3 linked regions of the Arabidopsis thaliana genome follow. The protein of the gene in region 1 binds, or shares a complex with, the protein of each later gene. Each region holds a gene or a part of one and is shown in the gene's direction. Other genes may lie near its edges.

Region 1 (6,010 bases):
AAACAGGTGGTACAAGAGTGCAAAGAGATATATGAGAACACACTGGTAGATGGTAATCCTCCAAAGACAGGATTTGTATTCCCGAGAGTCAAGTGCTTAACTGCTTCCAAAGGATCTATGTGGCGAAAACTCACTTAATCTGTAAAACAGCGTTCAGCGTTTGCGTCCGTAACTGCTTTTCTAGTTGAGATGATGTTCTTTCTCCAAATTATGGCGTTTGCGTCCATGTCTTCTTTTTCTTTGCATGGTATCTTTCCTCTGTAAATTCTGTGTTTTCTCTTGTTTTGTTCTTTTTCTTACCTTTATTCCTGGATTTGAAAGTTGAAACGCTCGGTGGCCACTTGCACTAGGATATTATCCCGTTGTATTTAGGAGGCGTATTTTTTTGTCGCAAATTTTAATTCTACTGTTTCATTTAATTTTGATAAAATCTTCTTAAAGTTCGTTTCTCTTTCATAACAAGGTAGCTCTTATTGTTTTTAGAATTATTTCTGATTTGTGAAATTTTGAATTTGAAGCATATTTTTATCATGAATATAAAAAATGTTGGGGATTATAAAAAAGTTTGTAAATTCACTCATTGGCAGCTGATTTAGCCACTCACAATATCTAAATAAATAATTGTAAGCATTATCTTGAAATATTTTCTGAAATGACTGTTTCTTTTTTACTTTAATTAAATTTTGTTCTAGAAACCTTTTGATCATAATGAAAATAAAGAGTCCATCCACCACATGGGGTAAGCATAATGTGTGATATTTAAAGGGTAACAAATGTAATCTGCTTTTTATTTTACTTTTTACCTCTACTCAAATTGTATGGGCAGTTTTTTTTTTTTTTTTAAATGATAAGACAAGTATCTGTTTAATGGTATTGTGATGAAACAGTAGTAAAGTCATATCGGGCACGCCATACTACTTCCACAGTGGAACTTGGCCAAATTTTGTCTTTGCCGTCTCTACAGTTTCTTCCACCAAATTTTTTGTTGACAAAACTCAAATCTTTCAATCTCATCTCTGCCAAAGTTGGGTTTAGAAAGAATATCAGCAAACACTAATATCTTTATTGTTGCATGGTTTATCAATCACAAAATTCACAACCATTGTAAAAAAAAATTCACATTTTTGGTATGAGATTGCTCACATGATAGTGAACCTCTTTAACATTTTAACTTTACTTTCATAAATACGGGATTACGAATCTTACTTGCATTAAAAATTTAGAAAAGGTTTTTCTACTTAAAGAAAAAAGGGACCCAACAGAGAGAGGTTTGACCAGGAGAAACGGGTGCATAGCCTTAAGAGCTTTCAACTACTTTACCCCAAACCCAAAGCGATGTCACTTTCAACCATCTCTTCTCTCCCCCGAACCCGTTTTTTTGACCGGTCAGTTCGGGCAGCAGCACCGTTACGGGCAGCTTATATTCCTCGTCTTCCTCCTCTACACCACTGCATGCCCATAAATAAAGCCCGTTGAGATCTTTAAAAATATTAAATAATATATCAACGAAAAAGCTATTTTATTCATAAGAAGAAAAAGAGAGGAACAACAACAACACACTAATCATAGTTTCTCTGGCAGGCTTGTTGTTGCGGCTTAATAAAAAGCTCTTTTGTTATTATTACTTCACGTAGATTTTCCCCAAAAAGCTCTTATTTTTTTGTTTAAAAAAAAAAGTTTCATCTTTATTCAACTTTTGTTTTACAGTGTGTGTGTGAGAGAGAGAGTGTGGTTTGATTGAGGAAAGACGACGACGAGAACGCCGGAGAATTAGGATTTTGATTTTATTTTTTACTCTTTGTTTGTTTTAATGCTAATGGGTTTTTAAAAGGGTTATCGAAAAAATGAGTGAGTTTGTGTTGAGGTTGTCTCTGTAAAGTGTTAATGGTGGTGATTTTCGGAAGTTAGGGTTTTCTCGGATCTGAAGAGATCAAATCAAGATTCGAAATTTAGCATTGTTGTTTGAAATGGAGTCGAGTTATGTGGTGTTTATCTTACTTTCACTGATCTTACTTCCGAATCATTCACTGTGGCTTGCTTCTGCTAATTTGGAAGGTTCGTGGTTACTCAATTACTCAGCTTTACTCGTTTCTCAATTACTTTCTCGATTCTTTTTTATTTGGAGGTGAATCGCTATCTTTAGTGTCTGCATTTTGATTTATGAAAATTGTTGTTGTTCTTTGTATTTGTAAGATTTAGTGGCTAGTACTTTGAATACACTGTTTTGCTTTTCTTGTTCAGATCAACTTTGTATATTGTAAAGGCATGTTCTTTGGGTTGAAAAGCTGGGTTATTTGATATCTTAAGATTGATGTTGTTGATCCAAACATTCTCTGAAAGACTTCATTTGTTTTTGGTTTTGTAAAGAATTTGTTTAATTATTAGCCTCTAATCTCAGAGAGGCCTGTTTGAATAGTTCTCTCTTGAAATTAGACTTTTCACCAATTGATGCTAATTGTGTAGATTTGTTGTTCTTGTTATAGGTGATGCTTTGCATACTTTGAGGGTTACTCTAGTTGATCCAAACAATGTCTTGCAGAGCTGGGATCCTACGCTAGTGAATCCTTGCACATGGTTCCATGTCACTTGCAACAACGAGAACAGTGTCATAAGAGTGTAAAGCTTTCTTCTACTAATCCCACTTTTTAAACTTTGACCTCAGCGTGGTTACCGACATTTTTGTTTCTTTTGTCAAATACAGTGATTTGGGGAATGCAGAGTTATCTGGCCATTTAGTTCCAGAGCTTGGTGTGCTCAAGAATTTGCAGTATTTGTAAGTTCCACTTATGCATCATGCTTTAACAAAACAAATCCAAGATTTGACAGAAGAAGCACTGGAGTTACCTTTTGTAATTGAAATCTTTTTAACAAGTTTCTTATTTTCTTACAGGGAGCTTTACAGTAACAACATAACTGGCCCGATTCCTAGTAATCTTGGAAATCTGACAAACTTAGTGAGTTTGGATCTTTACTTAAACAGCTTCTCCGGTCCTATTCCGGAATCATTGGGAAAGCTTTCAAAGCTGAGATTTCTGTGAGTATACATATGCTTTACCGGCTCAGTTACAGTCTTTGTTTAATCTTAGGTTTTGTTCCAATTTTTGACTCTTTGCTGAAAATTTTACATGCAAGAATAGCCGGCTTAACAACAACAGTCTCACTGGGTCAATTCCTATGTCACTGACCAATATTACTACCCTTCAAGTGTTGTGAGTCCTCTCATTAACTTTCATTTATGTCTACTTCATTCTCCCTCAGTTGATTTGTTGAGTTAATGCACTTAACCTTGATGGATGCAACACAGAGATCTATCAAATAACAGACTCTCTGGTTCAGTTCCTGACAATGGCTCCTTCTCACTCTTCACACCCATCAGGTTCTATGATTTATCCTCTTCAGTTATTTCAGTTGTTGTGTCAGTGTCTGAACTTATTCTGAAACTTTCATTTCCTTGTGCAGTTTTGCTAATAACTTAGACCTATGTGGACCTGTTACAAGTCACCCATGTCCTGGATCTCCCCCGTTTTCTCCTCCACCACCTTTTATTCAACCTCCCCCAGTTTCCACCCCGAGTAAGCCTCCTCTTTTTAGTTTACATTATAGGAAACAGAAGATGAAATCTTTGCTTCTCTGTCAATCCTTTTTCTCATATAACTCATCTTGCCAATAAGGCAATAACCAAATGATCTAATTTGATTTCAGGTGGGTATGGTATAACTGGAGCAATAGCTGGTGGAGTTGCTGCAGGTGCTGCTTTGCTCTTTGCTGCTCCTGCAATAGCCTTTGCTTGGTGGCGACGAAGAAAGCCACTAGATATTTTCTTCGATGTCCCTGGTGAGTTTATTATTCGCATTAGTTTCTGTTCTTAGCCAGCAATTTTGTTTTGCAGAAAAGTATTGGAACAACTGTTAATGAAAATCAATACATAAGTCATTGTTTTTTAAGTTACAAACTCTTTTGAGTAAAATCTCGATTGCAAAATCTCTTTGCAGCCGAAGAAGATCCAGAAGTTCATCTGGGACAGCTCAAGAGGTTTTCTTTGCGGGAGCTACAAGTGGCGAGTGATGGGTTTAGTAACAAGAACATTTTGGGCAGAGGTGGGTTTGGGAAAGTCTACAAGGGACGCTTGGCAGACGGAACTCTTGTTGCTGTCAAGAGACTGAAGGAAGAGCGAACTCCAGGTGGAGAGCTCCAGTTTCAAACAGAAGTAGAGATGATAAGTATGGCAGTTCATCGAAACCTGTTGAGATTACGAGGTTTCTGTATGACACCGACCGAGAGATTGCTTGTGTATCCTTACATGGCCAATGGAAGTGTTGCTTCGTGTCTCAGAGGTAAAAACTAAACATCTTGTGCTCTCTCTCAATTACTTTGACGTGAAGTGTTTTTTCATGTTTTCCTTTATGGGTTCATAATTGTTGGTTACACTAATGACACAGAGAGGCCACCGTCACAACCTCCGCTTGATTGGCCAACGCGGAAGAGAATCGCGCTAGGCTCAGCTCGAGGTTTGTCTTACCTACATGATCACTGCGATCCGAAGATCATTCACCGTGACGTAAAAGCAGCAAACATCCTCTTAGACGAAGAATTCGAAGCGGTTGTTGGAGATTTCGGGTTGGCAAAGCTAATGGACTATAAAGACACTCACGTGACAACAGCAGTCCGTGGCACCATCGGTCACATCGCTCCAGAATATCTCTCAACCGGAAAATCTTCAGAGAAAACCGACGTTTTCGGATACGGAATCATGCTTCTAGAACTAATCACAGGACAAAGAGCTTTCGATCTCGCTCGGCTAGCTAACGACGACGACGTCATGTTACTTGACTGGGTAATAACAACATAAAACTTCCATTTGACCCCAACAAAAACCATTGAAACGAGAATCTAATCTCAAATACTTGTTTGTTGGTTTAGGTGAAAGGATTGTTGAAGGAGAAGAAGCTAGAGATGTTAGTGGATCCAGATCTTCAAACAAACTACGAGGAGAGAGAACTGGAACAAGTGATACAAGTGGCGTTGCTATGCACGCAAGGATCACCAATGGAAAGACCAAAGATGTCTGAAGTTGTAAGGATGCTGGAAGGAGATGGGCTTGCGGAGAAATGGGACGAATGGCAAAAAGTTGAGATTTTGAGGGAAGAGATTGATTTGAGTCCTAATCCTAACTCTGATTGGATTCTTGATTCTACTTACAATTTGCACGCCGTTGAGTTATCTGGTCCAAGGTAAAAAAAAAAAACATAAAATTATTGAACAATAACAAATTTTACAAGGTAGGTAGTTTTTTTACCCGTAAGTTTTCGTTTTTTTTAATTGTTAATGTAAAATGAAATCTAGCATTCAAAGATTTGTGATTTTGTGCTATGGTTCGATTAAAAGGGAAAAAAATTGTAATCTAAAGATTTGTGTAAGATTACTGTCTATTGTATGAAGTATGAACTATGAACACAATATATGTACATCCAAAAATACGTTAAACTAACTCCGCTGTTTTGCTACAAAAACCCTTTCAATTTTGTTCTACTAAACGTCGTTAGAATACACAAAAGCGAAACAGCGTCGTTTATTTATAATGCGCTACTCACATGACGCCGTTTCACTTTTGTGTATACAAACGACGTCGTTTAATAGAAAAATTTTTGGAAGGGTTTTTGTTGGGAAAAAAAGAGAAGAAGGGTTTTTGTACTTTGTGTCTTCTTGTTCCATCATCGTGACACGTCACACCTCCATTCATCTCCGCCGTCCTCTTCCTGTTCTTAGTCGCGGCTGGAAAAAACTGTGGTGAGAGAGAGAAGAAGAAGAAGAAGAAGATGAGTAATAATACTAATAATACAGAGATGAATAATCTAGCGATGGAAGAAGAGGATGAAGGAGAGATTTTCCTTGGTGAATCCGATGTCCTCCGTGAAATCGATGTCGACGAAGAAGGTTTTTTTTTATCTCCTTCAATCGTGATTTTTTTATCGTATGTATATATGTGTATGTGTATGTGACTCTTCTATTT
Region 2 (2,755 bases), on another chromosome or scaffold:
ATGAAATAACGTTTCTTTTAGTGAAGAATTGCGCTTAAGTTTTTGGCGGAGGGTAATTGTATTGCAAAAGTCACTAAACTTTAGAGAGAAGCATTTAACCTTTCGGATTACAAAAAAATACTGTGACAATAAAAAAAAAAAATCAATGAGAATGATGCATTGGAGAAAACGTGTATGAACAGATGGTCGGTAAAAAAAAAAAAAAAAACGTGTATGAACAGATGGTCGGTAATTAGCACGAAAATCGCTTTGGTTGTAATTTGTAATAGTACTATTTTATACTCGTATATTTTCAACAGTGTTGTTACAGTAACGCTAAGGAACTAGCCTGGACAAGCTTTTACATCTCATTTACTGTTGTTGTTCTGACACAACTACTGTTGTTGCCTTTTATGTTCGGTTTCCTTCGTTCTTCTAAGTTCTGACATCTTGTTCGTACAAAGGGGTCTCATCGTCATTATTCTCTGCCTTCAATATATATGCCGCAAAAGAGGATGCAACTCAAAAGTGTCCACTAAAGCTACGGTCTTTAAGTTGATGATTACGTTAAGGAAGATGTCCAAGAAATAAAAAGTTGATGTCTTGATGATGACTAAAATTTAGAATTGGTTGATCCGGTCTTGCGGTGCAGTAGTTGTATTGCCTGGTCGTTAAGTCACGTTACGTTTTAGCTCGAACTTGTTTTACGTAAAGGATAGATCTAGGAAATATAGAAACTTTTTTATGCATATGCGCGTGGTTTGCTCAATCAATTGTAAGAGATTGCAAGGATAGAATACACTATAGTATTATCAAACTGATATGAAATTATTTTATTTTGTCGTCAAGTAATATGAATTATATTTTTTTCACATAACATGAAATGAAAAGGCTTGACCTTGACCCACCACTAATTATTTTTCTTTCGTTTTCTTCTCTTTGTCCCCTCTCACTTTCACTCCACAGAGAGGATTAATTGATAATATATTATAGAAACAAATGTGAAATGTATTTTAAATTGAAAGTAAACTAAAAATCTTGACAATGTTAATAACCTGTAATCCTAATGGTCAATGCTAAAACCGTTATTATATGATCAGACATGGTCAAACCCACATAATACATGTTATTTCAAACGCAAAATTAGAAATATCATAAATATGCAATAGTACTTATACGTGAACCTAATTAAAGACAGCTATAAAGGAGTCTTCCTCCAACTTTTTTTGTCTTGTGGGTCATATCAAGAGCTATGAAGAGACGTTATTGTTTTTGCCCAACAACGTTTTTTACGCATTCCAATATGAGATCATGTTCAGAAATAGTTAATTTAAACTCAAGTGAAGGTAGTATAGGGGTAAAACATCTTGTGTCTCCAATTTGATTTAGTATGTTTTGAATAATGTAATTACTACGTAAATATCCATGATTAACTAGATTTAGGTTTAGTGCATGGTTTTCCTTAATAAGAGAGATAAGAATAGAACCATATGAGTAAATAAAAAGAAACATACAAATAGAACCATAAGTCAACATCTTTCCAATCAAAATCTCTCTCTCTTGATGTGCCCATATTTCTAGCTGTCAACAATTCACAGCCTTCTCTTTTTCATTCAATCACCCATCAACAAAAAAATAAAACCTTTTAAATATTAAATACTTCCACCCAAAACTCCTTCAAACAAAAATCACTTCCCTCCCTCCATCTCTCTCTATTCACTCTCCCAATTTACACCAATGTCTTCTCGAAGCCACCGATCAAGAAAATATCAACTCACGAGAACAATTCCTATTCTTGTTCTTCTTCTTGTCCTTTTGAGTTGCTGCAATGGAGCAAGAACCACGAACGTCTTCAACACAAGCTCGCCACCCAAACAAAAGGACGTCGTTTCGCCACCTCATGATCATGTCCATCATCAAGTACAAGATCACAAAAGTGTACAGTTCTTGGGGTCCCTGCCACGTCAGTTTCCGGTTCCAACTTCTGGTCCTTCCAGAAAACATAACGAAATCGGTTTAAGTAGTACTAAGACTTAATCTTCACCTTGTAGTTCAAAGGTTTGATTAATGAATCATCCTTTTTACTTCTGTAAGTTTTTTTTGTTTTAGTTTTTGCCCCTTTTGAATTTGGTTCAAACTGATGTAAATAGATTTCAGTTTGATTTATTTATGGGCAATGCTGTGGATACGATCAAATTTTTTAGTTTAATATTGGAACTTGTTTGATCCATTGAAATATTGCAAGTACGTAAGAGCATCCACATTGGTGGTTATTTATACATGTCTTTAAATATAAAACTATAAAAAATAATAATAATAAAATAATGAATGTCTTTAATTTGAGATTTGTGTCTTCCTAAAGACACTTTATACACAACAAAAGTGAAATGTCTTTAATTTTATTATTTATTTATACTAAAAACATATATAAAAAGTTGTCTACTCTAAGTGTACAAGAGCCGAGGATAGAAGGGTCGGTTTCTAATTAAACAATTATTGTTCTTTTTATTTTCCGTCTTCTAATTTGATATATATGAAATTATATATCATATGTTCACTGTATCCTAATCGTGGATTATTACGGACATAATGATAATTGTTGAGATATATACAAGTCCCGATCAATTTAGGCTACATCTGTTTGGTAGAATATTGATGGATATAAGCCGAGTAGTGATTTCAATATTTTATATCCACTCTCTTCTTATAAGTTATGGTAATAACAAATAGAAGGTTATTCTACATATACTAGTATTTGAGTTGGTGTTTAAATACC
Region 3 (3,350 bases), about 18 Mb from region 1:
AATGGCAATAAGAAGAAGAGGTTGGTGGATCAGAGAAAGATGATGGCTCAGAAACATAAGCAACAACAACAAGTTGGTTGCAGAGAATGTGGTAGAGTGTTCGTTTCTTTGAAAGCTCTTAGAGGTCACATGGCTTGTCACGGTGAGGTAAAGAAGATGTTGATGGATGATAATAGCCAATCTGATACTGAAAGTGAGACTTCCTCAGCTCCTATGAGGAAAAGATCCAAGAGGGTGGTCATGAAACAATCAAATTCTGAATCTTTGAGTAATGGGAGCTCGTCTTTTGGTTCTGAGATTGACCAAGAACGTAGGGATGGGGCTTATAATTTGATGATGTTGTCGAGTGATTCTAGTAGTTTCAAGAAAAGACGTAACATGGTGATGAATTCTCTTGGTGAGTCATCTGACAACAACTCTGCGATTGTTGAGAATAAGTCATCTTCAGGGGATGAGTTTAAGATCATGAATGTGAAGAATGCAGTAGATGACCAATGGAGATCTGCTGATGATGATGGAGTTAGTCTCTGTGATTCAGATGGCTCTGATTCTGATTACTTCATGAATGGTCCAAGTAAGTCGGAGTCAGACATTTCTGTTGACAGGAACACTGGATTTGGATCTGGATTCAACAACTCATTGATCAGGTTCAGGAATAGTAATGAGGGAGGAACAAAGTATGAGCTGAGCAAAAGCAAGAGAGCCTTGTTTTCTTATGAAACTGATTCATGTGCAGACACAAACAGCAAGATTCATCATAGGTTCAAAGATAGCAAATCCTCAATGGTTAAGAAAGAAGGTGGTGAGAAGGTGAAGAGCAAAGGTCATGAGTGCCCAATTTGCTTCAGGATGTTCAAATCAGGCCAAGCTTTAGGTGGTCACAAGAGATCACATTCCATTGCAAACCACGCAGCTGAAATGCGTAACCAAATCGATCTCTATCTTCCTGTTTCGGATACTGATGAATGAATCAGAACCTGAGAACTATAGTTCTCTCTGATAGTATTTCATCCCCACTTTTTGTTTGTTTTCTTTGCTCCACATTTTAGAACTAGATCAAAAGTTTTTTTTGATTTGTTCATATAAAGTTTGCTTATCACTTAGAGCCAATTCTTTGCTTTATGAACTCAAGTATTGATGTATATATTATCTTCAGCTTTTTAGGGACCTTTCATGTTTCTTACTGATTACTGAGATTCATTCTTCTTGTCTTCAAAGAAAGCTGTTACTTTTAAAGTTTTTTTTTCCTTTTTCGAGCTTTCACCTATAAGACTTCCTCTGTATTCATATTAGCACAATCAAAGTCAAGACTACAAGAGCCATTGTCTATTGCTTTTATGATGATGTTTTGGTTCTAACATAAAAAGGGAGAGAGTTGTGTTCAAGTTAAAGTTGTTGATTCAATTGAAAGGAGGAAAAGCAAAATAAATAAATCCCAAATTTGGTAACTTTACTAATTTATAGGTAGTTGGGTTTAGATAGACTCCTATTGGGCCTGTTAAGGCCTTTAAACTATAGAAGCCGATAAAGACCCAGGAGTTAACTTGAGAGTCACGAAACCACTCAAATACACGTTCTTGTTTATCTTGTGTACGTAATTACTACATAAACCCATTATTTTGTACGTATAACGTATTGTATGAAAAAGCTAAAGAAAGTGAAATAAATCTAGGATCGAAATGTATATAATAAAGTTCACGGGTTGGTATTTATGTCAATGAAAACGAACTAAGCGAAGGACCCACTTTTTTTTGTATAACCAGTTTTGCCCTCTCATTTACTAAAACTAACCGTCATAACATCGATTCATGTGCTTCTTCTGTGTTGCATTTATATCCCAATTTGCTTCCACCAAATATCTTCCCTCTCTCGATTTTAAACTTCTTCTTCTCCAAGACCACTTCTCACTTTCTCTCTCTCGCTCTCTCTTGGAAACCAAAACAATGACGATGACTCACCTGAATCGTCTGATCTTGATCTCTCTTCTCTTCGTCTCTTTACTTCTCAAATCCTCCACCGCTTCTTCAACCGTCGTCGACGAAGGAAACAGAACATCAAGAAACTTCCGTTACCGAACGCACCGATTCGTTCCGAGGTTTAACCACCACCCTTACCACGTGACTCCTCACCGTTCGTGTGATTCCTTCATTCGTCCTTACGCGCGTTCTATGTGCATTGAGCTTCAGAGAATCCACCGTAGCAGTCGGAAGCAGCCACTTCTTTCTCCTCCTCCTCCGGAGATTGATCCAAGGTACGGCGTCGACAAAAGACTCGTCCCCTCTGGTCCAAACCCGCTTCACAACTAAAACCATATCCTCAAGTTTCTATACATACATATATACAGAAACATTTGTCACATATTTTCTAATTTAACTCGTTTCTCGGATTTGTTCGAGAGAGATTTGTGTACTTTATAGCTAGAGTTATTTTGGCCCAAGAAGATGGTTCGTTAGTTCTTCTTGGTCTTCTTTGCGGAAATTTCTTATTTCTACTTTCTTGATCTTGTAATGGAGTCTTGCGTTATGGTAATATTGTAACTAAGCTATTTCCACGCTTGTTTTTGGGCTTTGTAGTGTGAAAACAATCTTGGAAATAGTGTATTTTTGCAAGGGACTTTCTTTTGTTTTTCTAATGAGAAAATGATAAATTATAGTTTTGAAAGCGAAAGGAGAAAAAAAGATTTAGTATGGTTGGGAGAGGAGAGGTGAAGAAACGCATGAGCTCCATTAATTTGGGAGCTGTATTTATGTAACTCTAAAGTTTCCATTGGTCTATCAATAAAAATTTAAAAAGGTTGATGGGGCATATATATGTTATGTTCTTCTCTTTCGTGTGATATTTCGCTGTAAAGATATTTATTTCGCTTGTCTCTGTCAATAGACAATAGTAAAAACTTTGCAAATATAGAAACTTTTATTTATAATTTTGCCAACCAGATTTTCCTTTATCATTTTGCCAGCCAAATTTTTTATGTCTACTCATTTTTACAAATGTGGCACCGTCCACCATGTACGTGTTATCATCCGATTTAATCAACGGATTATAAGTTGTAGAAAATATTATTTATTACTCTTTATGAAAAGGAAAGTTATGAAAGAAAATGTATATATCTTAATGTTTATCGCCAAATTTATGGGATAAAAGTGTTTTAAGATGAGATGATGAATATAGTGCAAGCCTGGCAAAACAGAAAAGGAAACAAGAAGCAAAATTGGAGGGGAAAAAAATAATCTTTATAGAGTAAAATAGAAATAACTTGAATGCATTTTTGGTATAAGATGAATCAGAAAAAGTTATAATTTTTGTTTGTAACTTGTGAATTTCGAGTATTTTATCTAGTACATATCACT

The links.
Region 2: the proteins of SERK1 (region 1) and IDL3 are in contact, whole or in part, in a crystal structure (PDB 7OGZ), measured with the Arabidopsis thaliana proteins. Residues at the interface, in NP_177328.1 of Arabidopsis thaliana: Asp51 (codon at 2,546), Thr53 (codon at 2,552), Leu54 (codon at 2,555), Val55 (codon at 2,558); in NP_001318520.1 of Arabidopsis thaliana: Arg87 (codon at 1,975), Lys88 (codon at 1,978), His89 (codon at 1,981), Asn90 (codon at 1,984).
Region 3: the proteins of SERK1 (region 1) and CLE9 are in contact, whole or in part, in a crystal structure (PDB 7OGU), measured with the Arabidopsis thaliana proteins. Residues at the interface, in NP_177328.1 of Arabidopsis thaliana: Asp51 (codon at 2,546), Thr53 (codon at 2,552), Leu54 (codon at 2,555), Val55 (codon at 2,558), Thr59 (codon at 2,570); in NP_564251.1 of Arabidopsis thaliana: Pro117, Leu118, His119, Asn120.

What each region holds. Positions count from the first base shown.
Region 1 is NC_003070.9:27,016,608-27,022,617, forward strand, and holds SERK1 (somatic embryogenesis receptor-like kinase 1), read left to right. Parts: upstream 1-1,550; 5' UTR 1,551-1,967; coding exon 1,968-2,055; intron 2,056-2,483; coding exon 2,484-2,616; intron 2,617-2,701; coding exon 2,702-2,773; intron 2,774-2,890; coding exon 2,891-3,034; intron 3,035-3,137; coding exon 3,138-3,209; intron 3,210-3,304; coding exon 3,305-3,376; intron 3,377-3,459; coding exon 3,460-3,572; intron 3,573-3,702; coding exon 3,703-3,834; intron 3,835-3,992; coding exon 3,993-4,334; intron 4,335-4,439; coding exon 4,440-4,834; intron 4,835-4,920; coding exon 4,921-5,235; 3' UTR 5,236-5,510; downstream 5,511-6,010. Other genes in the region: SEC6, read left to right, coding at 7-138; AT1G71840 (transducin family protein / WD-40 repeat family protein), read left to right, coding at 5,817-5,934. UniProt on the Arabidopsis thaliana protein: Dual specificity kinase acting on both serine/threonine- and tyrosine-containing substrates. Phosphorylates BRI1 on 'Ser-887' and CDC48 on at least one threonine residue and on 'Ser-41'. Confers embryogenic competence.
Region 2 is NC_003076.8:3,045,502-3,048,256, forward strand, and holds IDL3 (inflorescence deficient in abscission (IDA)-like 3), read left to right. Parts: upstream 1-1,509; 5' UTR 1,510-1,716; coding exon 1,717-2,016; 3' UTR 2,017-2,252; downstream 2,253-2,755. UniProt on the Arabidopsis thaliana protein: May be involved in floral abscission.
Region 3 is NC_003070.9:9,189,741-9,193,090, forward strand, and holds CLE9 (CLAVATA3/ESR-RELATED 9), read left to right. Parts: upstream 1-1,762; 5' UTR 1,763-1,808; coding exon 1,809-2,306; 3' UTR 2,307-2,850; downstream 2,851-3,350. Other genes in the region: AT1G26590 (C2H2-like zinc finger protein), read left to right, coding at 1-969.